Xenopus tropicalis: one gene and its partners. The protein of the gene in region 3 purifies or fractionates together with the protein of the main gene of each other region. This does not show direct contact. Links are inferred from orthologs where the notes say so. Each region holds a gene or a part of one and is shown on either strand. Other genes may lie near its edges.

Evidence for each region.
Region 1: the proteins of sertad4 (region 3) and ppp2r1a purify together in Homo sapiens (affinity purification with mass spectrometry; 3 studies listed by BioGRID and IntAct, counting the BioPlex papers as one, with this or other methods). This does not show direct contact. The link is inferred for Xenopus tropicalis from reciprocal best matches to the Homo sapiens genes SERTAD4 and PPP2R1A.
Region 2: the proteins of sertad4 (region 3) and ppp2r2c purify together in Homo sapiens (affinity purification with mass spectrometry; 3 studies listed by BioGRID and IntAct, counting the BioPlex papers as one, with this or other methods). This does not show direct contact. The link is inferred for Xenopus tropicalis from reciprocal best matches to the Homo sapiens genes SERTAD4 and PPP2R2C.
Region 4: the proteins of sertad4 (region 3) and ppp2r2d purify together in Homo sapiens (affinity purification with mass spectrometry; 3 studies listed by BioGRID and IntAct, counting the BioPlex papers as one, with this or other methods). This does not show direct contact. The link is inferred for Xenopus tropicalis from reciprocal best matches to the Homo sapiens genes SERTAD4 and PPP2R2D.

What each region holds. Positions count from the first base shown.
Region 1 is NC_030683.2:120,818,692-120,826,744, forward strand, and holds part of ppp2r1a (serine/threonine-protein phosphatase 2A 65 kDa regulatory subunit A alpha isoform), read right to left. Parts: intron 5,257-8,053; coding exon 5,083-5,256; intron 4,260-5,082; coding exon 4,199-4,259; intron 2,738-4,198; coding exon 2,583-2,737; intron 2,005-2,582; coding exon 1,862-2,004; intron 1-1,861. UniProt on the Homo sapiens protein: The PR65 subunit of protein phosphatase 2A serves as a scaffolding molecule to coordinate the assembly of the catalytic subunit and a variable regulatory B subunit.
Region 2 is NC_030677.2:25,466,969-25,475,021, forward strand, and holds part of ppp2r2c (protein phosphatase 2, regulatory subunit B, gamma), read left to right. Parts: intron 1-2,827; coding exon 2,828-2,997; intron 2,998-5,889; coding exon 5,890-5,981; intron 5,982-6,931; coding exon 6,932-7,223; 3' UTR 7,224-8,053. UniProt on the Homo sapiens protein: The B regulatory subunit might modulate substrate selectivity and catalytic activity, and might also direct the localization of the catalytic enzyme to a particular subcellular compartment.
Region 3 is NC_030681.2:15,441,463-15,450,057, reverse strand, and holds the start of sertad4 (SERTA domain-containing protein 4), read right to left. Parts: upstream 4,552-8,595; 5' UTR 3,698-4,551; intron 1-3,697.
Region 4 is NC_030683.2:21,318,329-21,326,381, forward strand, and holds the end of ppp2r2d (serine/threonine-protein phosphatase 2A 55 kDa regulatory subunit B delta isoform), read right to left. Parts: intron 7,384-8,053; coding exon 7,271-7,383; intron 6,732-7,270; coding exon 6,554-6,731; intron 5,962-6,553; coding exon 5,797-5,961; intron 3,587-5,796; coding exon 3,417-3,586; intron 3,310-3,416; coding exon 3,218-3,309; intron 2,329-3,217; coding exon 2,049-2,328; 3' UTR 581-2,048; downstream 1-580. UniProt on the Homo sapiens protein: Substrate-recognition subunit of protein phosphatase 2A (PP2A) that plays a key role in cell cycle by controlling mitosis entry and exit. Involved in chromosome clustering during late mitosis by mediating dephosphorylation of MKI67.

The DNA of each region.
Region 1 (8,053 bases), on a different chromosome or scaffold from region 3:
ATCATTTTATTCTTGAACCAACAAATGTATTTGTAGCTGTAATATTGGTGTGTAGGCGCCATCTCAGTGCCTTGTGCCTGAGTCTGAGCTTTCAGCCAGCGCTACACATTAGAACTGCTTTCAGCTAACCTATTGTTTCTCCTACTCCCATGTAACTGGAGGAGTCCCAAGCCGGACTTGGATTTCTTACTATTGAGTGCTATTCTGATACCTACTGGGAGCTGCTATCTTGCTCCCTTCCCATTGTTCTGCTGATTGGCTGCTGGGGGTGAGGGGGGTGATATCACTCCAACTTGCAGCGCAGCAGTAAAGTGTGCCTGAGTCTGAGCTTTCAGAAGGAGCCAGCACTACACATTAGAACTGCTTTCAGCTAACCTATTGTTTCTCCTACTCCCATGTAACTGGAGGAGTCCCAAGCCGGACTTGGATTTCTTACTATTGAGTGCTATTCTGATACCTACTGGGAGCTGCTATCTTGCTCCCTTCCCATTGTTCTGCTGATCGGCTGCTAGGGGTGAGGGGGGGGGGATATCACTCCAACTTGCAGCACAGCAGTAAAGTGTGACTGAAGTTTATCAGAGCACAGGTCACATGGCTGTGGCACCCTGGGAAATGAAGAATATGGCTAGCCCCATGCGAAATGTTAAAATTAAATATAAAAAAAAATCCTATAAAGCAGGATTCTGCTGGAGAAGCTCGTTTAACTGATGGGTTTTGAAAAAAACATGTCTTTGTTGCCCTGCACTGGTAAAGGTTGTGTATTTGCTTCAAAAACCCTAAAGATTATATAAATAAGCTGCCATGTACAAAACTATTACCAGTGCAGGGCAATAGTACATTATATTATATGTTTTAAATACTTTGATACAATTTTATTTCTTGGTGTTACTGTTCCTTTCAACTAAATAACATAAAAACTTATAGGAATAAAAAATGGATGAAAAGTGAAAAGTTGCCCTTGACATTCTAAAAGCATGAAAAGCCTTCCCACTATGTTTAGTGATTCTGTTAGAATTGATGTTGCAATATAGATGATTGTTTCCCACAGTTCAAAAGGCAGAGTATCTGGTTCCCCACTGCTGCCTCAGGCATTTGTACCAAACTGACAGTGCTGTGGAACATCTTGGTGCATTAATAACAATAATACTGGTGTAGAAATCCAATTGGTCTTTAGCTACACTCTCCTCTGGGCAGCAGGAGCCAATCAGATGCAAGTATTTATGGTGTGACATCACTGAGACGTAATGTATACTTGCTTCCCATTTGCTCCCACAGCATGGCTGGCAACCCTAGTGATTTTTGCAGCATAACAGCAGTAAGGGCCCATAATGTATTCCTCCTACACTACAGTTCTACCCTGAAGGGTTACTAAACACAGGAACTTTTGTGAACGTTTGGAACTTGTAGGCCACAATGGAGAGTTAAAATGTGTGTTTTGGCAACCCACGCCTAAACATATGGCTCTGCTGTGGGACAAAAATAGCTCTTGGGATAAATATTCTATTATATTCTCCCAGTACGAAAACACGTTCATCCAATAACAATGTTCTGCCTCTGTAGCCTGTACGATATCTGTCACTATTTAAACTTTACAGAAATGTATGATGTGATATTTGACCTTTAATAAAAGGAAAATCGTAAGCAAATATTTTACACCTACCTGTGTCCCATGAAACCATGCATTGGGAAAAGCCACCTTTTATACACTGGCACAGTTAAAGGGAAGGATAACACTGCACCAGAGAAATATAGAAGGTATGTGGGGAAGAGACCAAACGCTATAGAAGCACCTTTAATCCCCCAAGCAATAGAAAGTAACTGAATCAAATACACTACACACTTTGTCATACGCCCCATTTACCTGTTGTCCAAGGTGGGTCCTATTTTCTGCAGAGACTTTGCCACATTAAAGCGCACGTTGGCCACAGCATCCCCGGCCATTCGGACAACTGTAGGGAGCATATGCTTGGTGGTGATCTCTTGTCCACAAACCTCAGACAGAACCTGCAGGAGGCAATGAACAAATCCATTACATTCTGACACATCTGCACCCTGACATTTACACTAGTGAATTCAGCAGGACCATCTAGGCTATGATGGCAGTAACAAGTGGGGAGTCACCAGTGATTACCCCCAATTTGCACACACAGCCAATAAAATGCCTTCGACAGTCTGTTATTAACTGGGTAAATAATCCTCACAGCCTTTTGCTTACTGGGTAAGAACCTCACATAAAAGCACATGTTTATGCTTTGATAAGAACATTGGTTTAAATGCCACGTGGGCTATTAGCCATACAGCAACACTGTACACACTGATCAAAGAAGGGAACAGAGATCACTAGGCATTTTCTAACCACCACATAGCCATAATTAAACTGCCAAACTATTGCACCAGACAAATAGTAACTGTGTGTGGCTTCATGTCTAAGTATATAATACATCAGGGGGTACATAAAGCCTTTTATATTCTGCGCTTTCGGCTACTTGGTAGGAAAGCCGGCACCTGTATTGTATAAAATTCTAGGAGTATGACCCCCACCACCCAGCCCTTGTAACATACTTATATTAGAAGCCACTTACATTGATGCAGAACAAGGTGGTCATCCTATGTAGGTAGTTGGGATCGTTAGACATTGCCAGGACCTTGGGGATAATGGTGGCCTGAGCCCAGTCTTTGCCAAACTTCTCCACCAGCTTCTTCAGGTTGCTTGTTGCTGCCTCTCGGATGGCATACACTGCAAGGAGAAACAAGTAAAAGCTTAAAGGAGAACTTAAGCCTAACTAAAGAAGGATAGAAATGCTGTACATTATGTTTTGTGCTTCTGTACCAGCCCAAGGCACCCACAGGCCTTTAGCAGGGAGGATCTGTGCCACCAAAGATGCCCCCAATCTTATTTTCTGCTGATTCCCTGAACATGCTCTGTGCTACTGTCACTTACCTGAGCCTAGGGACCCGCTCACACTATACTGTATATACAGAATATAAATGTCACAATATAAGGCTGACTAGTAGTTAATACATGGCAGCTCAGAAACCAGTGCAATTAGCATCAGAATGTAATAATCAGCCCTGTAGCATCACCTTATATGACAGACCAACCTCGTTTTCTGCTTGATAACTTGCAACTACCCCTAAACTCGGCTTCTCAACAGCTGCCCAGAGCCCACTGAGCATGTGCAGTGTCGCAGACACTTTACAAGATGGGGAGCTCCTGTGACAAATTTGAAGTCCTGGATCATTGCTGCTATTGAGATGCTGAAACCTTAAACTTCTGCTATAAGTTCAGAATATAAATAATGGCATTTTTAGCCAGATTCATTCGGGGGGAAGTTCACCTTTAAATGAACTTCTCAGTTCATTCTCAATCTTTGTTTCTGCTTTGTTCAAAGCCGCAAGGGAACTTTCCGAGACAAACAAGGGATATACCGCTATAGAAAGTTCTGTCAGCTTGTAACAGCTACGTAACAGGGGTGACTTATAGTCTGCACACTCCTCCACATTCAAATATGTCACATTCAAATGTCTTCAAATGTCATATGGGTATAAGACAAACAACAGTAATAGTCTAGGTAACGGAAAAGTTAGAGCTGCATCACTTCCTGTCAGCTGATCTCTGAGGGAGCACAAAGCCCATCACTAAATGGTGGCTCAAGGGAAAGGATGTAAAAGGGCAATATTTACTGATATATATATTCCAGTTTGGCGAGATTCTTTAATGGGCCACTAAACATAATATAAACTATCTGTTGGTTACGTATTCATTATGGGGGTATAGTTTTCCTTTAAGAAACAAAATACCTGAAATGATGTCTTTTTTGGGATTCTGAGCTTCCGTTGCCTGCACTACTGATCACTTGGGCAGCAAAATGCCTAAAATAACACTGTGTGCCACTGCCCTAGAGCAATGGTAACCAAAACATAGACTGCAAACGTACAATTGATATTGAGCCAGATAATAAGAAAATCACAACCTATTAAGGCTATACTCAATGCTTTGGTTTTGCCAAATGCTTTGTGAAGAAAAAGGGTCAAAACATATTAGTCTTTACATTTTACCCTTCATCATCAAGAGAAAAGTAAACTAATATGTTTTAACTTAAGCCATAACTTCTAAATATGAATATGTTAGGAGATTGTGCAGATAAAATGAATACAGGTGAGTGCAGTAGATTTGTAAATAGTGATAAATCCTTACCGTGATCCACGAGCCAGGCCATGCACAGAGAGTTTAACTTTTCATCAAAGAACTCCACTCCCTGCAAAAGAACAAAATCATATTACTGTATAAACAGCAGCACACTCTAGTGGCCAAAACTGATAATACAGACTTTATCAGTGATTCAGATCTGGAAGAGGAGATATAACAATTAAGAAACAGGCCAATTTAGGCATGAGTCATTTCCTACGCTGGCCCCCAATATATACTTCAAAAAGTATGAATAAATACCATTTGTATATGCTGAAATCCAGCTGCAAAACAGTGCTTCTCTTTCTGCATCATTTGGAATCCTGACAGGGGAGGAGGGACTAAAACAATGATGTCGCTAATAGTAACAACTTCTCCCCAGCTTACAGACAGCATGCAGGAACTACATAACCCACAATACATTGCACTGTGATGTTCCTTTCCTTATTGGCATCACGTGTGCAGGGAATTGTGGGATTGGGAGGAGGCAGGCTGAAGGCAGGCTGAGGACAGGCGACTACTGTTACATTTTATTTGAGTCACAGAGTAGTCAGCCAGATCAGCAGGGGAACAGGGGGCGGGGCTTAGGGAACTGTTCCAAATCATATTATTACATTAAAAGTCATGAAAAGGCTGCATATTATTTAATTGATGTATAGTGCAAAGTTGCTTGAAATTACCGTTACTTTTGAAAAAGGTGTTTGGGTGGAGTTCCCCTTTAAGCATTCCAGAACAATGCAGGCAAAATAGGTTAATTAGCTCCTACCAAAGCCATCCAGATTGTGTGGCTGTTTCTCATCCCTTTATTTGTAGCTCCGACAGTAATATACTTCTTTTGTTCTGAACTATAGACAAAGCTCTGTGGTTGGACCAACACTAAGAGGTGCACTTACCAGCTGTCCGGCAAGTAGGGGCATGTATTCGATAATTGCCAGCCGCACTCGCCATTTGGCATCTTCTGCCAGTTCTACAATGGCAGGAAGCAGTGACTGTGAGAGTTGCCTGATCCCAATAACCTCATTCACACAGTCCAGGTTTGAGATGATATTCAGCCGCACTTCTGGACACTGAAAAATAGAAAAACCTTAGCTTTTAAAATTTGCCTGCAAAAAGAGTTTATTTATAGACTCCACGCTCCACACTTAGACACAGCCACTCAATATTAATGGAGAAGGAATGGTAAAAACTCAGTAAGCTTTATCAGAAAGGTCTGTGTAAATACAGCCATAGTGCAGTGTTTCTGTAAGCGCTTGAGTCCTCTATCAAAAGAAACACAGGATTTCTGGTCTCCTGTTTTGGGAACATGTTCTTTGGTATCAGACTTCCTATCTTTTAGGGTTCCTTCAGGTTTGGGCCTTGAGTCTGCCGAGTTCTTCTCCTCTCCCCTCCCCCCTCCCATAAGAATACATACAAACTCACTTCCCCCACCCTTAGGAACGTGTGATCTGAGCTTCCAACAACTATAACTGCAGCAGAAAGCTACCAAGACCAAGCTAAAATGGCAGCTGCTATCGGAGGGAGCTTCTAGGGCTCTTTACTCAAGTATAGTAAAGCTTTCTGCTGAATAAATATAGCGTTCTAGGTGGCACTAATGTGACAAATCTATTGGCAGTAAAATGCCAAAATGACTTTCCTTCTCCTATAAACTTGGAAAAAGAAGGATAGGAGGATACGTAGATGTAAGAAGCAATGGGAAATGGCATCAACACTAGTAGTGATGCGCGGGTCGAAAAAAAAACAACCTGCACCACACGCTAACCTGTGCAGCCCGCCGAGCTGCATCCATTTATATACCCACGCCTGCCCCGCCTCTGACTTCATGAAGGGGGCGGGGAGAGGCAGGGACACAGTTAGGTCACGGGTGGGGATGGTGGTAAGAAGAGCTCCGCCCATCCACACATCACTAAATAACAGGGCTCATTTTAAAGTTATTTTCTTCTCCCAGTCTGATGTCCCACGCAGAGATTAGTCACCCGTGATAGATCTTTTGCTACCGTGGGCACCTAATCTTTCCAAAATGCCTTTCTACCAGCAACAAAGATAATCGCTGATCGGGCAAAGTTGCCTGCAGAATGGCAAGAAAACTCCAGTCTACTAGCAACTGTCAGAATAGATAACCACTCGTGTAAATGCAGCAAATGCCCTTTTGTCATTTTAGCCTTAAAGGCCAAGTTGACAGTTACTGTTGCTACAGATTACAGCCCAGTATGAGTGACCTTGCCCGAATGTAATCATGTCAATGTAAATTCCTCTTGGTGACAAGGCCATACACTGGCCCAGGCTTTTGTAATATTAAAACGCAACATCAACCAGATCCTTGTACTAATTGTACAATATACATAAGCTAAAATATTTTGATTGGATCTCTCTGTAAAGGTTATAAGTGCATTTATACAGCTGCACCCACAGTTAGTTCAGAGGAATACACACGGTGGAATAGTTTCTGCCAATAAACAAAGCTGGATATTCAGAAGATGATATTATATAAAGGATATCATCCAAAAAACATGAATCTACAAGGAAATAAATGTAGGAAACTTAGGCAATAGTAAGTGAGAAACCACAGGCTGGAAGGCATTCCTAGAGAAAGATACTTGGGAAAGTGATTCAACTCTTTCTGCAGTTAATAAAGCCCTCACTAAATCAGCTTTCCAACCGCATTATGGCTAAATGCTAAGCCGAGCGAGTCTCACACCGGCACTTACTCATTCAGTTTATTGTGGAATTATACAAACTGTCCTCTATATAAATAATATAAATGCACTGCCAATGGGACGAAGGATTTGGCAACACTAGGAATGAATTTGGATACCAGAATTGAATCCTGGCAGCCATCTGCACATTTTAGCTGGAAAATGAAGCCTGAAATTTGACTCAAATGCAATTTAACCACTATTTAAAAACTGAAACCACAAACAAATGAATTTAGAGTTGGTATACACAATCAAGTTATCTTTCTGATCAAGCATGTTTTATTATCGGTTGCATATTTCCCCAGCTCTCATGTGGCTCAGTAATCCCCACCCTTGCTTACCTGCAGTAAGGGCCATACTTACTATATAGGCACCTAAAGGCCTGTGCCTAGGGGGCTGGACTCAGGTCCCTATATGGTAAAAAATTTACAATAAAACCCAGCCTGCTGTCAGATACATGTGCCTTTATCCAGCAGCTGACGTGAGGGAGGAGGAGTTATTAATCATTCCTCTGTGCAATACAACAGGACTGTTCATGCATTTGTCAATTGCTGATGGAAGAGGGTGGGCTGTGAACTGTGCCTAGTAGTGATGTGTGGGTGGAGAAAAACTGGACCCGCACCCGACCACTCTGAACCCAAACCCTACCCGATGCGGTTTCTGCCCCGCCCTGCAATGATGTCACAAAGGGGGAGTGGCATGGTAGGTGCACGCCTAGAAATACAGAAGCCGGTAGTGGCAGCCAGCAGTGTTATGTCGCGGGCAGGGAGGGCAAGCAGAAGAGCTCAATCCAAACCTTCCTGTGACCCGCAAGTGATGTGCCAAGGTTGGCCTGAACCCACGCGACCCACGGGTCCTGCGGGTACTGGGCCAGCCCACCCACTGCCACTGCCTAGGGCAGCACCCACCAGACCTAAATACAACCCTGCCTGCAGTGCTTAGAGAACAGAAATTCTCCTTGCAAATGCACTCCCTTCCCTTTCATGTAGCTAAAGAAACAGCCAGAAAAACTAAACGAAAAACAGCAGTTGGTCAGGAGAACCGTTAGGGGTGTGACACACGGGGAGATTAGTCCTTGCACAACAAATCTCCCTTGTTGCGGGCGACCAATCTCCCCAGAATGCCATCCCACCAGCTAGAATGTAAATTGCCGGTGGGATGGCATACGCGG
Region 2 (8,053 bases), on a different chromosome or scaffold from region 3:
TATTCTGCAGATGATGCCAATTGCCCATTTCCTGCCTATTTTTACATTGATAGCAAGCTATAATTAGCCTAGAATTCCTCCCATCAGTGACACACAGACTTAAAGAGAGTCGACGAGAGAGTGTGAGAGATGGGGACACGGTAATTACCTGCTGCGCTTCAGACAAACTGCGAGCTGCGGGCATGGAAACTGCCAGAATGTTACAAATTAAGGAGGATTTTATAAAATGTGATTTTGACACTTCGTTGAATGTTTGACAGTGAGTAAAGCCACGGCTGTATTTTTAGCACAGGGAGGGAGAATACAGTCCATCGTTAACTATACAGCGTAGGCAAAGGGAACAGTCATATTCAGGTGCAAAGGCTCGCACCTACGGCAAACTATAAACGGCACAGGCACGGCGCAAATTAACTCCGCTATGATGGATGATACCTGGGCGTACCTTGTCTAGAAGGAGAATAGAGGTGACAAATGAGAACAAAGACTTGATTATGTTGTTTCTCCCGCGGGCATGCCAACATGCCGGTATAACGAAGAGGGAGACGTTTCAGAATAATGAACCTCGTTAGGCAGATAGCTGGCACGGTCACATTATAAAGCATCTTGCGTTTCCCCTATATCATATACACGACGATAGCTGGGGCTCCTAACCTAAAGGTCACCATGTCATTCATGCTGGGAAATCATGATCCCGTTCCCATACAGCAATTCACTTAATTTGTTGATATTAATTTAAGGGTGATAATAAACTCATTCCATTATAAATCTGACTTCTAGCTCTGTGGCCTGTCTGAGGACACTGTGGACAATTTGTCGTTAATATATATAGTCCAATTAAATTTATTTGCTTAATGTGCTGAAAGAGAACATATTAATGCAAGTAATAGGGATACACAGCCCCTATCACATTTGGGTTGGATGATGAGACCCAAGCACATACCAATGGGAGATATCAGAAGGCTAAATGCCCTCCAGGAACATAATCTGATTAAAACAAAAGATGGTTTGACAGAACGGGGTTTCTTGGGGGTGGACACAGTGGCAGTTCCTCCAAAACTGACTTAACTTCCTAGCCATATTGCTTTGTGTATGGAGAGCATTAAGCTGAAACAGGTTTAGAAAGCTGAGGATCGCATGGTGAGAATCTCGAGCTGCAGTTGATCTATGAGGGAAGCAAGTCAACCATGCAAGAGCTCTCCTTAGTCTTTGTCATGGAAGAAAAGAAGGGTAGGCCTTAAAGCTTGGAGCCCACTTTTTATTGGTTACATAAAACAGTACATTACCCCTCTCTATGTTTGTACAATATGGAGTAACAAGTATTTGGGAAATGTGTCTAACAGTTGCAAGGTTTACTCCAGGTCAGATGTTTGCTGGCCAGTAAAGTCTGTAGGATCAGCCACCTTTCCTATATTTTTATATTTCTTCCCCATTAATAACATTGGCATTGAGCATAATGTTTACTGGTCAGGTGGCAGTGCTAACTAGCTGCTGAAAATTAATTTACTCCCGATCTGAAGTTAGGGAGCAGAAAAGAGTCATCTAGTGCAGTGCTGTCCAACTTCTACGGTGCCGAGGGCCGGAATTTCTCTAGCATACATGGTGAAGGGCCGCTAATGGAAGCCAATTTTGACCACTCCCCTTTTTGAAACCACACCCACTTCAAACCACACCTATTTTATCACAATGGTGGTAGCACAGCAAAATCCCAAATGCTTGGTCCTTACTGTGGGGATATCAACCATCATTCATATGTGAAAGAATTATGTCATATTAAGATATACCCTTAAATTCCATATGCCTCCTCCTCCCCTGTGGATAGCAGAGCAACCCCCAGTACATAATTACACACCTTTGGGACCAACTGCTAACAAACTCCCACAACAAACCCCTGCCAGGTTCACCTCCCACAAGCAGCATAGGGCAAGCAGAGTATGGCACACACAGGCAGCACTCTGCCTGTCCTATGCTGTCTGTGTGTGCCATACTCTGCCTGTCCTACCCTGCCTGTGTGTGCCATACTCTGCCTTCCCTATGCTGCCTCTGTGTGCCATACTCTGCCTGCGTGTGCCATACTCTGCCTGCCCTACCCTGACTGTGTATGCCATACTCTGCCTGCCCTACCCTTCCTGTGTGTGCCATACTCTCCCTGACCTATGCTGCCTGTGTGTGCCATACTCTACCTGCCCTATGCTGGCTGTATGTGCCATACTCTGCCTACAGTACCTGTGTCTGAGGTGTGAAGAAGTGAACAATGTGGGTGATTACAGTCTGAGCCTGAGGTGTGAACACTGCAGGGGGTGAACAATGCAGGTATTAAAAGGTGTGAAAAACACAGGGGATTACATTTTTAAACAATACAGAGGGATTACAGCCTGAATCAGAGGTGAGAACCATGCAGGGGGCCAGTTAATCTCAGTACTGATACCATTTAATGCTTACTCAAAGGTAAGCCATCAAAGCAGCCAGACAGGTGGGGGGCCACACAGAGGGGGGTCGTTGGCCGCATGCGGCCGTGGGCCACCAGTTGGACAGCACTGATCTAGTGTATCAGAGCTAAGCAGAGCAACATCAGAAGACATTTCTTTTCTCAGTAAACAAATTTTCAACCGACTGTATGTGCCTTCCATATGGGAAGTTGAGTACATTTAATTCACTGTATTTATCTCCTGTGTTGGCCACCAGTTCTGCTATTTATTGTTTTTTTCATCTTACATTCTTATATGGAAGTTTTGTGACCTCCCTTGGACACTCTAGGTGCGAGAGGGAGAATAACTCTACTTTCAGTTGACCCATATAACACCCTGTGCCACCATGCTTGTATTTACAGTTTATGAAGAACCAGAAGACCCAAGCAACAGATCATTTTTTTCAGAGATCATCTCCTCAGTCTCAGATGTCAAGTTCAGCCACAGTGGACGCTACATGCTCACGCGGGATTACCTCACTGTCAAAGTATGGGATCTAAACATGGAAACCAAGCCCCTGGAAACGTACCAGGTAAAACGCTTCATTTCCGGAATTCTGTATTTGTGGTATTGGGGCTGGTGATAGTTAAGCACAGCTGCTGTTTGAGAGGAACAGGTATTTACATGGGGTGATATGATGATACAAGGACTGGATTTTCCCTCCATGTTGCAGCTAACTGGAAACTCCTTTTCATGGTTGGCTGGTTCCCTTCACTGGATCATCTGATCTTTTTTTCAAACGCACCTATGGTTTTATTTTGGAATAATATTTAGTATTCATCATAACACTGACTCCTAGGTGAAAATTCATAAAAGTGGTGATATTGAGACAAAATAAAAGTGGAGATAGATTTGTCGGATTTCCCACCGTATTCACAAACCTCTATCTCCACTTTTGTGAATTTGTCTTTTAAACAGACAGTTTTCAGATTTTGTCATTTTACAGACATTTTTTTTATGAATTTGCCTTTAGCTCTTGGTAAATCTGTCGGTGCCCCCAAACCCAGTCCCACAGCTACAGGAGCCTTGGGATAAGGATTTTACCAGCAGGATTTTGCATTTCATATGCCATTTCACTTTGGGGGAATTTCCTGAGGGGTAATTTTAGTTTGCCCAGGGAAACTATACATCATTTTTTTTAGGACAAGCCGGGCTTTCTAATGTTTCCTATATTTCTGTGTAATTCCACTTCTGTTACAAGATTTAAGGGTCTAAATACCGTCTTCTCTAGCCCCTACTCATTAATGGGCAGCAGCAATCCGGCCCCCACACCAACATGCCCAGTGAATAGAGGTCCAACAGGACTAGGGCCCACTGGGTTTTTATCCAATGCCCTGTTGGGCCAGTCCAACCCTGTACCCCAATATCCCAGTGTGGGTGCCGGTGTGAATGTGCTGTTTGCTGATCCCCAAGATGGCTGCTGGGAACAGGTGGGGGCCAATGCTGTTAAGCAGCTCTGTCGTTGTGGACATGCTATGGGGGCACAGAAAAGTTGGGGCAAATGTCAGTGAAGTGATTAAAGAGGGGGCACTGGGAAACTTTAATTTTCCTTTTATTAAAAACATTTACAATATATTCATAATCATGCAAATGTGAGGTAAAAACTTTTTATATATATAAGATATAAATTAAACTTTTTTTAATCAGTGTTTTACTTGTTTATAAAATGTTAATGAGGCTTTTTGCACCTATTGTTCTAGGGTTAGACAGAAACTTGTCCCCTAACAATAGGCTGCTAATCCCCATTAATATGTTAACGATCCCCTAATGGGGCTCCTACCTTAGGTGTGAAATGGAGACTGGGTGAAACCAAACAAAACAGAAGAGCTTAGAATTGGTTTGACAGAGTTACACTGAGCTTTACTCCATTTTGAAAAAAATGTTGTTAAAATGTTGTTTAAACGACAAATTCACAAAAGTGTCTGTAAACTGTCTTTCTTTCACCAAAAACGGAAAAGTGGCGGTTGAGTCGGAATTTAGGCGGATTTCTGTTTGTGACTCTGGAGAAAGTGTTTTTCACCAGTTTTTCCACCACTGTTACTCCAAAAAAGGGCTCTCTCCACTTTTGTGAATTCCCCCCCTAGAGTTCAAGCCCATTCTTTCCGATATTTGGTCTGGCCCCCAGTAGCCAGTTTACAGTCGTATAAAACAGTTATCGTTCTGATAGTGCCTAATTGTTCAATCCCACCACTTGGCTTTCAGGTACATCACTAAAAGTAAATAAGCACAAATTTCTCCCTAATGGGCACCCACCCACTGCTCGGGACCACCATAGGGGGTACAAGTGCACAGTCTGGGAAACTGGAAAAGTATTAGAGGCACCAATGACTTATTGTTGATTGTCCTCCAACACTGAGGACCAAATGGCACCTTAGTAATAAATTTTATTGTGGACAAATTCCACAGAATTAAGAGACACTACACTCTGCACTTGGTAGATCATATTGACATATCAAAAACAATTTATTAAACACTGGCTAGAGTGTTGAGGATTTTTTTGACAATGACCCCCAGTAACCCTTGATGTGTCAGCATTCACCCAGTAATTGACTGACCCCACCTCACCGTCTCCCCAGCACAATATAGTTATAAAGGTCACTAATCCTCGCTCATGACCAGCTTGCGAACTGTCCTTGTGGTTCTTTTTGATAGCGGGGAGAGCTGAAAGGAGGCCAGACATTCTGTAGGAGAGTTGAAGCATTTCTATGGTACAATGGACATCATGTCACAAAGTGGATTTGGGAAAAATACATTTATTTAATCTTTAGCTTTATATCTGTAATTGCTAGGCTGGACTCCGGGCTTGGGATAGCTAAGGGACAGTAGGTGGAGGAGACGTCAGTAGGCCGAGCAAGAGAGGAAGATAACAAGGAAGATTACTGTCTATATCTGTCTTCCTACCTTGGCTCAATGATAAAGGAGATTATCCGCAGTGTTCCGCCAGTATGCAAGGAAGCTGCTGTTACTGTTCTCCACTGTATTCACCTCCATTCTACTCTATCACTGATCACAGCCCCCTGGCTCTCTATCCCCCTGCCTTTAGCATTTGGCAAGGCAAGAGGAGACTTAAAGGACTTATAAGGAGTCTAGGGACTGCTTGTCTGAAACATGCACGTTCTACCTACACATCTGTACATTGGTTTTGTTTAAACTACTGTAGTTCTGGCCAGTGTGGTGATATAGAACTCAGCTATCGCTGAGTCCAAAGTAATGGGAGGGTGACTCCTGAGGGCCATTTAGGGTGACAGCTTATTTTCTGTCTTGGACACCTCTGGAACTCTATAGCAGGGGGAATGTCTGTTTCAAGCTGGAAAAAAGGAGAAAATGCACAGGTTACAGATAACCCATCTTTCTTTCTCCTGACAACGTCCTCGACTACTTCATGTTCGGAAAGTGACCAGCAGTTGTGGTTTTGTGCTTGCAGGTCCACGATTATCTTCGAAGCAAGTTATGTTCCCTGTATGAGAATGACTGTATTTTCGACAAGTTTGAATGCGCATGGAATGGTTCGGACAGGTAAGTCACCAACTGTGTTTGGAAAAAAAACTTTTATTATTGTAAACTGAGATTGTTTCAGGATAGTGAACTGCAAAGAGACAGCATAGGGGGCTGGGGCGTGAAATACATTATCAGGTTTCCAGTTTACCTGTACGATGTGTGGCTCTGTAGGAGATAGACATATTGTACCAGGGGGCTGTTTGAAATTGTTGCTGGTACCATTCTTACCCCCATATGTAATAAATGGCACTGTTTGCCCTGTAGCAGTAACTCATAGCAACCAATGAGATGTTTGCTTTTAAACAGGTGACCAGTACTGCTGATGCTATGGGTTACTGCTCCTGCTCTTTATTACATAGCCACTTTAGAGTCCTACATTCACTAATCCTTAGATGTTTCCTTCTCCAGATTATCAGACACCTAGCGGTAGTGATTGCAGGTTCGGACTGGGGGATGCAGGGCCCACTGGAGCTGCCAACCCGAGGGCCCTGCATGTGCCCCCACCGGCCCCATCCCCTGCACCCCCTAGGGGCCCCCACTGCACCCCGGGACACGTTGAGCCTCCCTAACCCCCCCAAGGGCTTCCCGGGGAGCGCCGGCAAGGGTCGAGTCTGGGTTTTTCCCAGTGTCACGGTGGCCCAGTCTGATTCTGGGTGATTGATAAACCTAAGTAAATTATTTGTATGTTTTTTGACCCAAATATTGCAAGGGTAAAACCAATAGTTAACCTTTTAAAGGTCGGTGCCATCTTTTGAGTTTGTAGCAGAGCGGTACATATTGTGCTGGGAAGCAGAATCCAATAGGACAGTGACTGGGTAGTGATGGCAGGGCCCAATACCAGATCTGTCACTTGCTGACTATTGGAGTTATAATTGTACTAACCTTTTCATCCACTTTTTTTGCCACTTATTTGCCACCAGAAACTGGGAGAAATACAACATAGATATGTGTGCCTTTTTTGTTTGCAGCGTCATCATGACAGGGGCGTACAACAACTTCTTCCGCATGTTTGACCGAAACACAAAAAGAGATGTAACCCTGGAAGCCTCGCGGGAAAGCAGCAAGCCCCGGGCCATCCTCAAGCCCCGCAGGGTATGTGTCGGGGGCAAGAGGCGGAAGGATGACATTAGCGTGGACAGCTTAGACTTTACCAAGAAGATCTTGCACACAGCCTGGCACCCCACTGAGAATATCATTGCCATCGCAGCGACAAACAATCTGTATATATTTCAGGATAAAGTGAACTCAGAGATGCAATAGGATTAATCTTTATTTAATGCCAAGCTAGCCTTTCCGGGGGGTCTTATCTTTGTTGATGACTCTGTAGGAAAGTCTTCTTGGTGGTGGGATTGAATGTTCTACCATAACTTCTTGCATTACCTCCCTAAGCAGAGGTTCTTGATTCCTCCTTGGCTGGAGATATATTCAGAACCCTTAGGCCTGCATCGCTAAGCGATTAAGATCGCCTTGACCATGGCGGTCTATGGGCTTGCCTGATACTCCTACACTGAAAAGGGAAAGGCAGCTGTATCTTCAAACTTTCTTTGGATGCCTGTAGACTCTTTTACATTACTATGGATGTGGCCATGCTTATTTCTGCAATAATATTCCATTCTCAGTAACCTAGCAACATCGCATACAGTCTATGGTGTGCTTATAATATACACTTATACGGTGTACTTATAAACTACCGGGACAAAAAAGGTATATATAATAATATTATATATTTCTTTTTTCATCATATTCATGAAATCATGCATGAGCCATACTATGACACCTTCATGTACAGAGTCTGAGATTTATTTGGTCCATCATATATTTTTCTTTTCTTTAAATGCCTTAAAAAGGGCAGTCAGGAAATAAACACTATGGGCGCATGTATAAGCACTAGATCTTTCTTTTGTTCTCGTTTTACATTGTGAATGTTATATAAATATATATATATTAAATATACGGACTGACCTGAAGCAGTTCTCAATAAATAAAAAATGCTGATAATATTTTTATTTGCAACATGGCGCTACTCATTTTATGCAGAACTGTCCAGGCATCACAGAGCTCGCAATCTAATAACTATTGCAGGGGGCAGA
Region 3 (8,595 bases):
GCTTAGGAGCAATGCCTTGCGCCTTTATAATCCAAAGAAAGCCCCTGACATAAGAGAAATCTCTTATACAATTATAGCATTGAGCTTGTGGGGTAACAATGTGGTGCCGAGCCCCCCTGCACAAGAATCTTTGGCAGGCCACAGTAAACACCTACCTGGCCCTCCCTCCACCCATTCACCCGCTTGGGTAACCCCTCTCTGGCCCTTTACGCAGAGAGCGGTATGAGAGGGGGGATTTCTTATAGCTATAGAGGTAGCAGACCCTGTGGTCTTGGCCCCCCCAAGCCTCTCCATGAACGTGGGGTCCGCTCTGCACCTTTACAATCCACGTAGGGTACAGGCACACAAGGGAGAGCTGCCACAATACACAAGAGAAGTTAATGCATTTGACCACTGAGAATTAGGACAGTACCAGGGTGGAGATGCACCCAAGAGCTTACACTCTGACTGGGTGAAGCAAGTTACAAACAGAGCTCTAGGTAAGTGCCAAATCCAGGTGATCCCATTAGGTTTAATACATTGCTATGCCATGATGCCCATTTGTCTCACAATAACCCCAACTGATCTGCACCAAAGCCAAGACATAGTGCCCATAGCAACAAACTGACAGTCCACAAATACCAGGTGTTGTTCAACATTTACTGCATATATTCTGTTTGGGAGGGGGTTAATTCTTCTTTAGCTGTTCTTAACATGCCCCCCCCCCCCCACTCACGCTGTAGGTGTGCATTAGACATGAGTGTTACCATGGTTATATACACACATTTATCAATAAGGCAGCAGCCTGGGGGTCAGGGAGTTGCAACTCAACAACTGCTACACAGGCCACATGTTGGAAAGCGCTACTCTATAAATGATACCCCGACACCCCTATCCCTTAACCCTAATCCTAAGGATGGATTTGTGCAATCAGCAGCACGGAGAGCGTTAACAAGAGCCCCCAGCTCTGCCTGCCCCTTCCATAAGGGCAAGTTATAAAGTGCAGGGGGTTTAGACAAGGCGGCCCCAGGCTGATGTGCAGGGACACGCTCAGGCACTATTCCCATTGTGCTCCTTACATTCCTAAAGCTCCCAGCAGCAAACAGGTATAACCGTGCCCCTGCCCCATCCAGCCCTCCGTGCCCCTGCCCCTTCCAGCCCTCCGTGCCCCATCCAGCCCTCCGTGCCCCTGCCCCATTCAGCCCTCCGCGCCCCTGCCCCATCCAGCCCTCCGTGCCCCTGCCCCATTCAGCCCTCCGTGCCCCTGCCCCATTCAGCCCTCCGTGCCCCTGCCCCATCCAGCCCTCCGTGCCCCTGCCCCATCCAGCCCTCCGTGCCCCTGCCCCATTCAGCCCTCCGTGCCCCTGCCCCATTCAGCCCTCCGTGCCCCTGCCCCATCCAGCCCTCCGTGCCCCTGCCCCATTCAGCCCTCCGTGCCCCTGCCCCATCCAGCCCTCCGTGCCCCTGCCCCATTCAGCCCTCCGTGCCCCTGCCCCATCCAGCCCTCCGTGCCCCTGCCCCATCCAGCCCTTCGTGCCCCATCCAGCCCTCCGTGCCCCTGCCCCATCCAGCCCTCCGTGCCCCTGCCCCATCCAGCCCTCCGTGCCCCTGCCCTATCCAGCCCTCTGTGCCCCTGCCCCATCCAGCCCTCCGTGCCCCTGCCCCATCCAGCCCTTCGTGCCCCATCCAGCCCTCCGTGCCCCTGCCCCATCCAGCCCTCCGTGCCCCTGCCCCATCCAGCCCTCCGTGCCCCTGCCCCATCCAGCCCTCCGTGCCCCTGCCCTATCCAGCCCTCTGTGCCCCTGCCCCATCCAGACCTCCGTGCCCCATCCAGCCCTCCGTGCCCCTGCCCAATCCAGCCCTCCGTGCCCCTGCCCCATCCAGCCCTCCGTGCCCCTGCCCCATCCAGCCCTCCGTGCCCCTGCCCCATCCAGACCTCCGTGCCCCTGCCCCATCCAGACCTCCGTGCCCCATACAGCCCTCCGTGCCCCATACAGCCCTCCGTGCCCCATACAGCCCTCCGTGCCCTATCCAGCCCTCCGTGCCCCATCCAGACCTCCGTGCCCCATACAGCCCTCCGTGCCCCATACAGCCCTCCGTGCCCCATACAGCCCTCCGTGCCCTATCCAGCCCTCCGTGCCCCATCCAGACCTCCGTGCCCCATACAGCCCTCCGTGCCCCATACAGCCCTCCGTGCCCCATACAGCCCTCCGTGCCCCATACAGCCCTCCGTGCCCTATCCAGACCTCCGTGCCCCATACAGCCCTCCGTGCCCCATACAGCCCTCCGTGCCCTATCCAGCCCTCCGTGCCCCATACAGCCCTCCGTGCCCCATACAGCCCTCCGTGCCCCATACAGCCCTCCGTGCCCCATACAGCCCTCCGTGCCCCAAACAGCCCTCCGTGCCCCATACAGCCCTCCGTGCCCCATACAGCCCTCCGTGCCCCATACAGCCCTCCGTGCCCCATCCAGACCTCCGTGCCCCATACAGCTCTCCGTGCCCCATACAGCCCTCCGTGCCCCATACAGCTCTCCGTGCCCCATACAGCCCTCCGTACCCCATACAGCCCTCCGTACCCCATACAGCCCTCCGTGCCCCATCCAGACCTCCGTGCCCCATACAGCCCTCCGTACCCCAGCCAGCCCTGCGTGCCCCATACAGCCCTCCATGCCCCTGACCCATCCAGCCCTCCGTGCCCCATCCAGCCCTCTGTGCCCCATACAGCCCTCTGTGCCCGACCCACAGTGACCCCGCTGGCAGCGCACGTACATTCTTGCTGGGAACAGACTGAAACTGTCTGTTTGCCCGCGGCTGTTTTCTGACCTGATCTCACAGGCACAGACATGATCCCCTGCTGCTACAGTCATATGGTTCCCTTAACAGACAATTACTATTCCAAACAGCAGCCAGATCCCCAAGAAGCTGCGCGTAACCCCTTCACTGCCTGCTGACACTCTCTGTGGCACCCTAGTGCCTTGGCCTGTGCCGGGGGGGGGTACACTGGGCACAAGTACAGGGGGCACAGACTGGCACTGCCAGTATTTACAAAGACACCAAGTGCCCAAAACCTCATAGGGTGTATAATAAGTTTCTGTGGGTGCCCTGTGCCCGGCTGGGGGTTACAGGATACAACTACACATTATTGGGCCCCACAGATATACCACTGTAGGGCCCCAAGTCACACAAACTGCTTCTGTCAGTCCCGCGCTGGGCACCCTATACCTTCTGGACACCCAAGAGTCTCCTTGCTCTTTAGTTGCACCCCAATAATACGTTGTTTGCCCAACATATTGACCCCCCCCCAAAACAAAACTTCCTGGGGGGGGTTTATGAGATTGTGCCAAATCTATACCAGACTTTCCCCACAGTAATGTGTGTTTGATCAGCCTGTACCATTCCAATGCGTTCCTACTCCCAGAATCCCCTGAGAGCCCCATTGGGCCCTTACAGAACCCTCAATACAGTATTAGGGGCCCCACTAGGGAAATAGATTGGCACTAAGTTTTATAATAAGGGCACATTGGGGCATAACCCTGGGGCATGAGGGGCAACTTTTTTTCTAAACCACAAACAGGGGCAATATAAGTCAATGGCCAAGGTGCGCCCATCCCTTGCACCCACATCGCTAGTTCTACAGCGGCTTGGGGGGGGGGAGAGGTGCCCCCACATGTGTACATATAACCATGTAAAGCCCAACTCCCCAATAAATGCCCCTACCTTGCGCCTTACTCCCGGTACTGCGTCCCGCAGGGTCACCGCGCCAGCTAGGAGACAAGTCGCCGCACAGTCGCAACACAGGTTGACAGCGATTCCGCGGCAGTGTCGCTGTACAGGATAGCAGAGGTGCGATTCCCGGGCAGTGTCGCTGTATAGGTTAGCAGATGTGCGATTCCAGGGCAGTGTCGCTGTACAGGAGAGCAGAGGTGCGATTCCCGGGCAGTGTCGCTGTATAGGATAGCAGAGGTGCGATTCCCGGGCAGTGTCGCTGTATAGGATAGCAGAGGTGCGATTCCCGGGCAGTGTCGCTGTATAGGATAGCAGAGGTGCGATTCCCGGGCAGTGTCGCTGTATAGGTTAGCAGATGTGCGATTCCAGGGCAGTGTCGCTGTACAGGAGAGCAGAGGTGCGATTCCCGGGCAGTGTCGCTGTATAGGATAGCAGAGGTGCGATTCCCGGGCAGTGTCGCTGTATAGGATAGCAGAGGTGCGATTCCCGGGCAGTGTCGCTGTATAGGATAGCAGAGGTGCGATTCCCGGGCAGTGTCGCTGTATAGGTTAGCAGATGTGCGATTCCAGGGCAGTGTCGCTGTACAGGAGAGCAGAGGTGCGATTCCCGGGCAGTGTCGCTGTACAGAGGTTCCCGGGCTGCTGTAGCGGAGTAAGGCAGAGGTTCCCCCGGCTCAGAGCTGCTCGGAGAGGCTCCCAACAGGCAGGGAGAGTGCGGGGCTGAGAGCGAAACCGGTCCGTCCTGTTCTACATTTCCCTCCGGATCGCACAGGAGACTCGCCAGCCTGCCCCGGGGGTGAGGGAGGGAATGTGACAAGCGCCTGTCTGCGCTCCCTCTCTGCCCCCTCCCACCGGCCCTGCGACTCCAACTGCCCGCTGCGACTCCGGCTGGCCGCGACTCCTGCTGCTGCACTGCTTAAAGGGACAGCACTCTGACCAGTCCTGCAATTGGGGTCACACTGTATGGTATAAACATATATATGTGTGTGTGCCTGTGTATATTTATACATATAGTATATGGTTAGATAGATAGATAGATAGATAGATAGATAGATAGATAGATAGATGATAGATAGATAGATAGATAGATAGATAGACAGACAGACAGACAGACAGATAGATAGTTGATAGATAGATAGTTGATTGATAGATAGATAGATAGATAGATAGATAGTTGATAGATAGATAGATAGATAGATAGATAGATAGATAGATAGTTGATAGATAGATAGATAGTTGATAGATAGATAGATAGATAGATAGATAGATAGATAGATAGATAGTTGATGATAGATAGATAGATAGATAGTTGATGATAGATAGATAGATAGATAGATAGATAGATAGATAGATGATAGATAGATAGTTGATAGATAGATAGATAGATAGATAGATAGATAGTTGATGATAGATAGATAGATAGATAGATAGATAGATAGATAGATAGTTGATGATAGATAGATAGATAGATGATAGATTGATTGACAGAATATATAGATGATAGATAGATTAGATAGTTGATAGATAAATAGATAGATAGATAGATAGATAGTTGATAGATAGATAGATAGTTGATAGATAGATAGATAGATAGATAGATAGATAGATAGATAGTTGATGATAGATAGATAGATAGATAGATAGATAGATGATAGATAGATAGATAGTTGATAGATAGATAGATAGATAGATAGATAGTTGATGATAGATAGATAGATAGATAGTTGATGATAGATAGATAGATAGATAGATAGATAGATGATAGATTGATTGACAGAATATATAGATGATAGATAGATTAGATAGTTGATAGATAAATAGATAGATAGATAGATAGATAGATAAATAGATAGTTGATAGATAGATAAATAGATAGATGGATAAATAGATAGATAGATGATAGATAGATAGATAGATAGATAGATAGATAGTTGATAGATAGATAGTTAAGATAGATGATAGATAGATAGATAGATAGATAGATAGATAGATAGATAAATAGATAAGATAGATAGTTGATAGATAGATTGACAGAATATATAGATAATAGATTAACAGGATAGATGATAGATAGATAGATAGATAGATAGATAGATAGATGATAGATAGACAGATAGATAGATAGATAGATAGATAGATAGATAGATAGATAAGATAGATAGTTGATAGATAGATTGACAGAATATATAGATAATAGATTAACAGGATAGATGATAGATAGATGATAGATAGTTGATAGATTGACAGAATATATAGATAATAGATTAACAGGATAGATGATAGATAGATAGATAGATAGATAGATAGATAGATAGATGGACAGATTGACAGAATAGATGATAGATAGATAGATTAGATAAAATAAACAGTCATGTTTACATTTTTCTGACACATGATACTATTAACATAATTATTTTGCCGCAGGGGGCGCTGTTTCACTAGAGTTTAATGCCTTTTACCCCCTCAAAATGAATCTGCTTGGAAGCTCTAGTGTATGCTTGTTATAGGGCTTGTGTTGGACATACTACACTTTTTGGTTGTTTTGATCAGTAAAAATCATGTTTTTTTATTTCTTCAGATAAACCATTTGCTTTCATTTTCTAGATTCCTGGTTCTTGAAAGCAATGTTGGAGGAGGAAAAGGTATTTAAAGGACAATGATAAATCCCTGGCAAGGAAAGGGGTAAGAACAGTGACACCTAGTGGCCTGCCTGAGTAAACCCACAGAATCAATGGGATGTTTTTGGAGTTTATTGCTGACAGTACAGAATCCATGCAGAGAGACTGGGACTTGCAGCCCAGGGTTCAACCCATTTACACATTCCTTGCACTTCAGATATGGTCACTTGTGAGGCAGCTCATAGACTTTAATTAAAAGAAGCAAATTCAAAGTAATTTATTATGGCATGTCAGGCACTTGCTGAGGCCCAGCCATAGGGGGCGCATTACATGAAGGCACCACTGCCTGCAGCATTGCTTAGTAGGCTCTCAGCTGTCTGCTTGTGTTACTGTACTGTGCAAAAGGGAATACAGGTATCGGACCCCTTATCCGGAAACCCAACTAAGATATAATTACCCCTTATTGGGGCAGAACATCCCTGTTGGGTTTATTTAATGGTTAAATGATTCCCTTTTCTCTGTAATAATAAAACAGTACCTGTACTTGATCCCAACTAAGATATAATTACCCCTTATTGGGGCAGAACAGCCCTATTGGGTTTATTTAATGGTTAAATAATTCCCTTTTCTCTGTAATAATAAAACAGTACCTGTACTTGATCCCAACTAAGATATAATTACCCCTTATTGGGGGCAGAACAGCCCTATTGGGTTTATTTAATGGTTAAATGATTCCCTTTTCTCTGTAATAATAAAACAGTACCTGTACTTGATCCCAACTAAGATATAATTACCCCTTATTGGGGCAGAACAGCCCTATTGGGCTTATTTAATGGTTAAATGATTCCCTTTTCTCTGTAATAATAAAACAGTACCTGTACTTGATCCCAACTAAGATATAATTACCCCTTATTGGGGGCAGAACAGCCCTATTGGGTTTATTTAATGGTTAAATGATTCCCTTTTCTCTGTAATAATAAAACAGTACCTGTACTTGATCCCAACTAAGATATAATTACCCCTTATTGGGGCAAAACAATCCTATTGGGTTTAAATACTGTTGAAATAATTTTTTTTTGTAGACTTAAGGTAGGAGATTCAAATTACAGAAAGACCCCTTATCTGGAAAACCCCAGGTCCCGAGCATTCTGGATAACGGGTCCCATACCTGTACTGCCAAGCTATCTAAAACACTTTTATGCAAGTTACTTTGCTCTGTCCTTACACCAACAAACTACACTGAGAGACTACTATCTGGTATAAAAAACTGGAAAATATCATTATCAGGTATTAACCCCCGTGGGAACTCACTTTAGTGAACTTTAGTGATGCCTACGTGTCTCAGGAAACACCACGAGTAACAATGGAACAAGCAGCCAATCATTTTGAGTGTAGGGTGTTAGCAGTGAGCACAAGTACTGGCCTACTCTCCCTGCCTACAGTCCCATACATACATGGAGTTGTGGATTGTTTTCAGGCTAGACTAACAATATGACATAGGGACACAGTGTGCAGTTCCATTGTGATATCGATACTCGTTAACATCTCTTGGAATTGGAAGTTCTGAGTGTGTGATTCAGCTTTGTGCTCTTTGGAAAGGACACATCACCACGCTAGGAATCGTATTGGACTGATATGTATCTCCCCTTCCAAGACTGCAGTGTAAACGAGCTCTAACAGGTAACCACAGCCTGGTCTGGGCCTCCTGGTATAATTTAAATACCAGCACTGATTCATCTTTGGGCCATAAGGGCCTCTTTTATTAATCCCTTCAAAGTGGTGGCACATATACTGTGCAGTTGGGCCAAATGGGAATGACCCAATATTACTGATTTGATAACTCAACCATTGATCATCACCCACTTATCTGATAACTGGGCCCACACTGCTTCCAGGTCATCTTACACCTGGGCTCTGCCAGATTCCAGGCAAAGGGATAACCTAGAAGTCATCAACTAACCAGAGTGTCAGCTTTGGTGTGTGGCCTCTTTTATCCAAAAACTGTCTAGCCTTCACACTTTACAAAATATATGTTTTGCCTGTTTATATACAGCCTCCAGGCTGGGCATCTCCGTGTATCTACTGAAAATATCTAACAATTGTTAGATACTTTATATGTGTGTATGTTCTGCCTGTTGGCCCCGGCTGACACCCAAAAGTGGAATGTTGCACTAGAACAACATTTAAAGGTCATGTCTCCCAATCCTGCTACATACGTTGACGTCTACTGTTTCTGTATCAAATGTCCTCTCCTATTGTTCCCTTTTATGGC
Region 4 (8,053 bases), on a different chromosome or scaffold from region 3:
CAATTTACAATTTTTTTTTACCAGTTTTATACTGCTAATATCACATATGTGTAACCTGAGCACCTCCCTGCTCTTTGCCCAGGGTAGAACAGCCAAACGCTCATTCTGACAGGAAGTCTCTTGATCGCTCAGCTCTATATCTCCAGTCACACTGAGCAACCGACTGAAGCAGTTCCTGGTTCATTCTAAACACGTTTGTGTTTCTGCCGGCTTGAAGAACAGGGGGCACTTAGGTTACCTATTCTTGATATTAGCAGTGTAAAACTACTACTATCATGTCTAAAAAAAAATACACTGCAAGCGCTGACCAATTGTACATTAGGTTACACAGAAGAGTATATCTCCCTGCTTGTTCCCGGTGCTGAGGCTCTGCTGTATTATCACCATAGGAGATCCTTATGCTGCCTGCACCACCACCACCAGGGGGCAGCCCTGCCCTTTAGTAACCACCTTCCACACCTAGCAAATAACACACTTCCAAGTCAGGTAAACATTTAAAATTTATTAAACTTTTTGGTCAAAATAATTGAACAAATATATACAATCCCGTTTGTTAGCTCTGGTCTTTTTTTTTTTTATGTTTTTTTTTTCTTTTCCTTTGTTTTCACTTCTATGAATGTAGTCGGATTCTCAGGTTTTTTTTTTTTTGTAACGGCCAAAAAGTTCCACAACTCAGCATCTGGAAATATAGTGTCACAACCCATATACAGTATAGTCAGATAGTCTTCTCTTTTTTTTTTTGTAGAAATGTAAATGATTTGTTTTCTCTTGTAGCTAGGCCTAATGCGGGCGAGGGTGGCACTCTATGGACATAAATTAGGGATGAGGTACATATTTTGTTCTTGCATATTAACTGTCGGAATTATAATTGACCATCGAGTTCTTGGCTAAAACAGAGCGGGTCGGGGGCCTCTGTTCGTCGCCAGGGGAGGCACAAAATCCACTTGGCACGAGTCTGCGCTTCCCGCGACTCAGGGTGGCGACTACGCGAGCTCTAGGGAACCGGACTAATTAGTGTCAAGCGGATGCACGAAGGTTAAACCTATTTGTTCACTGTACATTCTTCCAACGCTAAACAGTTTGGCATAACGAAATTTTTTAAAGACAGATCTGGGGGGGGAGGGGCTTGAAGTGCAACAATGGCGGATGGCATGCAAAATGGAAATTAAAAAAAAAAAAAAATAGTAAAAAAATATAATGCACAAAAGGTATAGTCCGTAAGTTGTCTAGCTAAAATATCCCATAATACTGTGCAAAATCCCTGTAGGTTTTTCATTTTTTTTTTAAGCTCATGGAGACCAAAGTCCTATTTCAGAGAACCGTTTTGAAGATTTGATCTTGGTATCATTTCATAGAACCGCTCGCGGCTCAGGAACATGCGATAAGAAAGAACATTTTAGGGGAAATTCCAATGAATTCTGGTCAGATCTAAAAAACACTTTTGTAAATGTTTATTTTGTTTCTTATTTAGTGGTTCCAGCAGGTGGCACTGCCATTAGTACAGCCAGTAAATAGACATGGGAAAAGGTCAGCTGACCTGAGGAGTTCTAGCTAAGTGCTCGGATTATATAAATTAAAAAAAAACACTTTGCCCAAATAAAGGCCAGAGGAGGAATGTTACAGGCATAACACAGTGTATGTTCTCAGAGGCCCAAAGAGAACAGCAGAAAGAAAATGGTGTCAAATTTAATTCAGTATAAAAAAAAAATCACAATCACATTTTACGATTTTATCCCCGTTTTTTTGGTCAAAATGTGGGAAAGGAAGGCTCAGGCTTCTGGGAGATGTTCATCACTTCTGACGTTTTGTTTTTGGGGGAACCTTGTGCCTTTCCCCCCCCTTACGGGGAGGCCAGACCTCTTACCATGACAATCCAGCTCTCTCTCTGTGTGTTTCTATTAAAGGGAAGTGCATCCATGTTGGTTTTGGGAGGAGGACAAGGAGGCCTGATCTCTTACAGATAAACAACTAGGCTTAACTATGCAAGAACAAGACTTTGTCCTCAAAAACAAAACAAAAAAAAACAAAGTAATAATGCCATTTTTCTTTTAGTTAACTTTGTCCTGGAATATATACAAATTATTGGTGGCGGCGACAGCGATGATGTTGTCTGTAGGGTGCCACGCTGTGTGGAGGATCTTTTTGTTGAAGTCTAAGCTGTCGACGTTGATTTCGTCCTTCTTCCTCTTGCCGCCCGTACAGACTTTGCGCGGCTTTAAGATGGCACGTGGTTTGCTGCTTTCCCTAGAGGCTTCCAGTGTGATGTCCCGGCGCGTGTTGCGGTCAAACATTCTGAAGAAGTTGTTGTAGGAACCGGTCATAATTGCACTGCGGAGAAATCACACACACAGTTGGGTTCAATTATTATATACACAGCGACAACATATTACAATAAATATACATTAAAAAAAAATAAAAATGCTTTGAGGCTACAATTATACTGATACTTTTAATTACCTATCTTTCTATTCAGGCCCACTCCTATTCATATGATAGTTTCTCATTCAGACCAATACCTGGTTGCTAGGGTAATTGAGACCCCCAAACAACCAGATAGCTGCTGAACAAAAAGCTAAATAACTCATCACAAACATAATGAAGACCAATGGCAAATTGTTTCAGAATAGCAATGTCTACATCATAATAAATGAGCTTCTCTAGAAGAATCCTGCATTGAAATCCAAACAGGTAATTTTTATATTTAATTTTGAAATTTCACATGGGGCTAGCCATATTCATTTCCCAGGGTGCCACAGCCATGTGCTCTGATAAACTTCAGTCACACTTTACTGCTGCGCTGCAAGTTGGAGTGATATCCCCCCCCCCCTCCCAGCAGCCGATCAGCAGAACAATGGGAAGGGAGCAATATAGCAGCTCCCAGTAGGTATCAGAATAGCACTCAATAGTAAGAAATCCAAGTCCAGCTTGGGACTCTCCAGTTACATGGGAGTAGGAGAAACAATAGGTTAGCTGAAAGCAGTTCTAATGTGTAGCGCTGGCTGAAAGCTCAGACTCAGGCACAATGCACTGAGATGGCGCCTACACACCAATATTACAGCTAAATATACATTTGTTGGTTCAAGAATAAAATATTAAATGGTAGTGTAATTTATAAATAAAAAGTATACCATAAAAATCATGACAGTATTTAATTTGAAGGTGACCAATCCATTTAAAAGGACACCTATCGGACTATCTGGTCAGAGTTAACTCTTACCTGTCTGATCCATTCCAACAGCATTCAAACTTGTCAAAAATGCAGTCGTTTTCATACAGAGAACACAGCTTGCTACGTAGGTATTCATGAACCTGATGTTCAATAAAAGAGAAAAAACATTAAAACTCAAAATAAGTCTAAACAAACCAGAATTAGATGGGATCAAAGGTTAAAAAGACACAACTGATGGCGCACTGACCTGATAGGTTTCTACTGGCCGGCTTTCCATATTAAGGTCCCACACCTTTACAGACAGGTAATCTCTAGTCATCATGTAACGGCCGCTGTTGCTGAACTTGACGTCTGATATTGAGGAAATTATTTCGGAGAAAAACGACCGGCTGCTGGGGTCTTCTGGTTCCTCAAAAACTAAGAAGGACAACAAAAATATTCGATAAACAGGTTCTGATCATAAACCTTTACCCAGTCTGCAGCATTTTTTTTTTTTTAATACTAGTTACCATATTCACAATGAGAACATACAATACAATACTCAGGAGTTTTCTACATTCGTACATGAACGTTTAGTAGCAAAGAGACCTCTAAAGGACAATCTTGTGGGCCTCCAGCTGTCTACATCATAACTCCCAGCAACCCTGTACATACAGGTAACATAGATAAAAACCCACTTTTGACTTCTGTCTCTAGAGATTTGCAGAACTATACTTCATGCAGTGCCATGTAGTTCAGCAACTTGGAGCACAGTGCTTAGCAATACAACACTGAATGCCACTGGGTAGACAGACTTAAGGTGGCCATACATGGTAAGAAACTTTCCCTCGATATGCCCGCCTTGGGTGGGCAATATTGTGCTATTGCACAAGTCGTAGCGAGGACTACATCAATGAGGCAATGTGGTCTTTGATCAGACAGAAAAATCAAGACTGTGCAATCAACATTGGCCAATTTCTGGCCAGATATTGTTTAGGGAGGCCTGTCGGAGGGCCCCATACATGGGCAGATCCAAATTGGCAGCTTAACTCTGCCTGTATGTGGCCACCTTTATAAGTATATAGCACTATCCATAGTGAGGCACAGTACTGGTGTATAAGACCCCTTTATCCAGAATGCTCAGGACCAAGGGTATTCCGGATAAGGGAACTTTGGATCTCCATACCGTAAGTCTGCTAAAAAATCAATAAAACATTAAACCCAATAGGATTGTTTTACCCCCAATAAGGGGTAATTATATCTTAGTTGGGATCAAGTACAGGTACTGTTTTATTATTACAGAGAAAAGGGAATCATTTAACCATGAAATAAACCCAATAGGGCTGTTCTGCCCCCAATAAGGGGTAATTATATCTTAGTTGGGATCAAGTACAGGTACTGTTTTATTATTACAGAGAAAAGGGAATCGTTTAACCATTAAATAAACCCAATAGGGCTGTTCTGCCCCCAATAAGGGGTAATTATATCTTAGTTGGGATCAAGTACAGGTACTGTTTTATTATTACAGAGAAAAGGGAAATCATTTAACCATTAAATAAACCCAATAGGGCTGTTCTGCCCCCAATAAGGGGTAATTATATCTTAGTTGGGATCAAGTACAGGTACTGTTTTATTATTACAGAGAAAAGGGAATCATTTAACCATGAAATAAACCCAATAGGGCTGTTCTGCCCCCAATAAGGGGTAATTATATCTTAGTTGGGATCAAGTACAGGTACTGTTTTATTATTACAGAGAAAAGGGAAATCATTTAACCATTAAATAAACCCAATAGGGCTGTTCTGCCCCCAATAAGGGGTAATTATATCTTAGTTGGGATCAAGTACAAGGTACTGTTTTATTATTACAGAGAAAAGGGAATCATTTAACCATTAAATAAACCCAATAGGACTGTTCTGCCCCCAATAAGGGGTAATTATATCTTAGTTGGGATCAAGTACAGGTACTGTTTTATTATTACAGAGAAAAAGAAAATCAGTTTTAAAATTCTGAATTATTTGATTAAAATAGAGTCTATGGGAGAAGGGCTTTCCGTAATTCGGAGCTTTCTGAATAATGGATTTCTGCACAAGGGATCCCATACCTGTACTATAATAAAGGCACTTTTTCACCTTGGCAATAAATATGACATGCTGTAAATGGTCATTAACCACAGGTGTACAACATGGCTCTTGGCTGTTAGTACATAGTACAGGTATAGGATCCGTTATCCGGAAACCTGTTTTCCACAAAGTTCAGAATTACGGGAAGGCCATCTCCCATAGACTCCATTATAAGCAAATAATTCTAATTTTTAAAATTGATGATAAAACAGTACCTTATACTGGATCCCAACTAAGATATAATGAATCCTTATTGAAGGCATAACAATCCTATTGGGTTTTTTCATGTTTCAATGATTTTTAGCACACTTAAGTTATGGAGATCCAAATTACGGAAAACATATCTGGAAAACTCCAGGTCCTGAGCATTCTGGATAACAGGTCCTATACCTGTAACTTAGACACTGGCACAACAGGGCAATCGTGAGTGGGATAAACCCTGCGTGTTTATTTAGTGCAAACCATGTAATGTTTAGGGGGAAGCCCCTTCGTCAGACATGTGACCTGGTGAATTCTGGAACTTACATTTTGAATGTCTATCACAGAGCGCGGAGTCTCGCATGTCACAAAGTCTAATTGTTCCTTTGCTACTGCTGTAGACAAACACGTTACAATGATGGGGATGGAATTCTGCAGCCGTTATGACTTCTGTCAGCTCCTCCATGTTAGCAGGCTTAATATCTACAATGTCTGGAAAGGCAGTTAAGGTTTTTCTAACAATCGAATAGAATTATGGGGGCTATGTAAGGATAGGCACTAAGTTGCCCAGGAGCAGTAGCCCATAGCAACCAATCAGCAGGAAGAATTTTCTGGTCACCTATTTAAAAGCAAACATCTTATTGGCTGCCATGGGTTACTGCTCCTGGGCAAACTTAGTGCCGTTTATTACACATGGGGGTAGAAAACAAAAAGACCAAAAGATGGGAGCAGAAAGCTCAGTTACACAATATAGTTCATGCTTAACTAGAACCATTTTGTGTCTAGGCTTGTATCCCATAGGATGAAAACTAGCAGGTACCTCTATAGCTGGCTATGAACATATAGTAGGCTCCATGCCCCGACATACAGTAGACTGCACTCCCCATAAAAATTAATTTCCCAATATGAAAATCCTTATATAAATTCACTGATAGTATGAGACAGTAATAATATAAAACATAACATATATTTAGCCCAACATCTAGGAAAAATAAACAGTAAGGAGAATCTCCAGGAATATATTTCTATTTGCCAGTGCCATACTGACGTAAATTTTTCAACGCTGATGGTAAGCAAAGGATACTAAAACTTCTATCTGTAATTTCTAAATGCCATAAATTAATTCTCAGGTCATCTGCTGAAAGGTAAGTTTCATGATCGCTATTTACGGAAATTGAGTTTATATGATATGTGTGCGCATTTGCAAATATCCGTCGTGGACTTGCTTCCACCATTAGGTCCATGGGTTTTAGGATTGGCACCTGAAATGAGAATACATGCAAAGTGGTTAAAGGGAACCTTGGCAAGAAATGAAGAAATAACAGCAAGAATAAAATGGGCACAATTGCTACAGCACATCTTGTAGCTGTAAACAAGGCTTGGTAAAGGCTCTACTACTATGGTCACTACACATCATAGGGCTCTACTACCAGTTCTCACAGTCAACTCCCTTCCACTTCAGCTTGTGTGCAGGCCTGTATTTGTATATAGGCACCCAAGGGCCTGTGCCTAGGGTGGCAGCCTTAGGGGAAAGGTCCTTGGTGCCTATATAATCAATTAAGTTAAAAGAATGAAAAAATAAAAACCCTCGCCAGTAGCCACCAGGGGAAATCTGTTGGGAGCTATGGGGGGGGGGGGGGGGAATTGCGCTGTCTGGGGGTGTAGTTATCTCCAGTACCTACAGGGGCACCAGAACTAAATACTTCCCTGCTCGCCCAGAATAGCCTATGCCCATAGATAATGTAGTGGCTGTACCCTTCTAATTATCTTTCTTCATAACTCTGTTTCCCCCAAAACTTACCCGTAAAGATGTAATTCTAAATGGATCCCGCAGCCTGCCGTCATCGTCCTTTAAGTTGTAGCCTTCAACTCGTTTGTCTCGCTCACTTATTTTCCACAATTTTATAGTTTTGTCTGCAGGGAAGATAAATTCCTTTCAGTGCATGAAAACAACCTTTGTACATGACTGCTTTCAGTAAGGTAACAGCGCACTCTTTCCAAACAATACTGTATCTATCAGGGCCATCACAATGTCACCTTGCAGGGAATTTCTATGGCTCTTGCCTCCTGCCCAAGGACAATATCTATATATCTGGGGTGAACAAAAATGCAATTGAGGACTTTCAGTTCTATCAGTTGCCGACGCTATAATATAAGGGGAAAATGATTTCTACTTTCTCAAGAAGCACCTTATTGTGGCTTCTCACAGGTTTCTACCCAAACATATAATATGATCAACCAATGCACGTCACCAAAATGGTTGGTTTGGCAGAGAAGCCAAAGGTGTATGGGTACTTATGGCAATAAGCTAAAATGAGAAGAGGAGAGCTAAGCACCAGCACTGTGTCAATTTAAATATAAAACCTTTATTTTCTCTCATTAAAAACATGAGGCTCCTGTTAGCGTCACAATGGGCCAACATATTTTGGGCAATCCCACCTGTAATCATAGGCTATTAGTCAAAACTGTATGTGACACTGCCGCAGGAGTCTGGAGCGGTGTTTTACTTATACAGACATGGGATGTTGTCTGGAAACCCATTATCCAGAAAGCTCCGAATTACAAGAAGGCCATCTCCTGTACA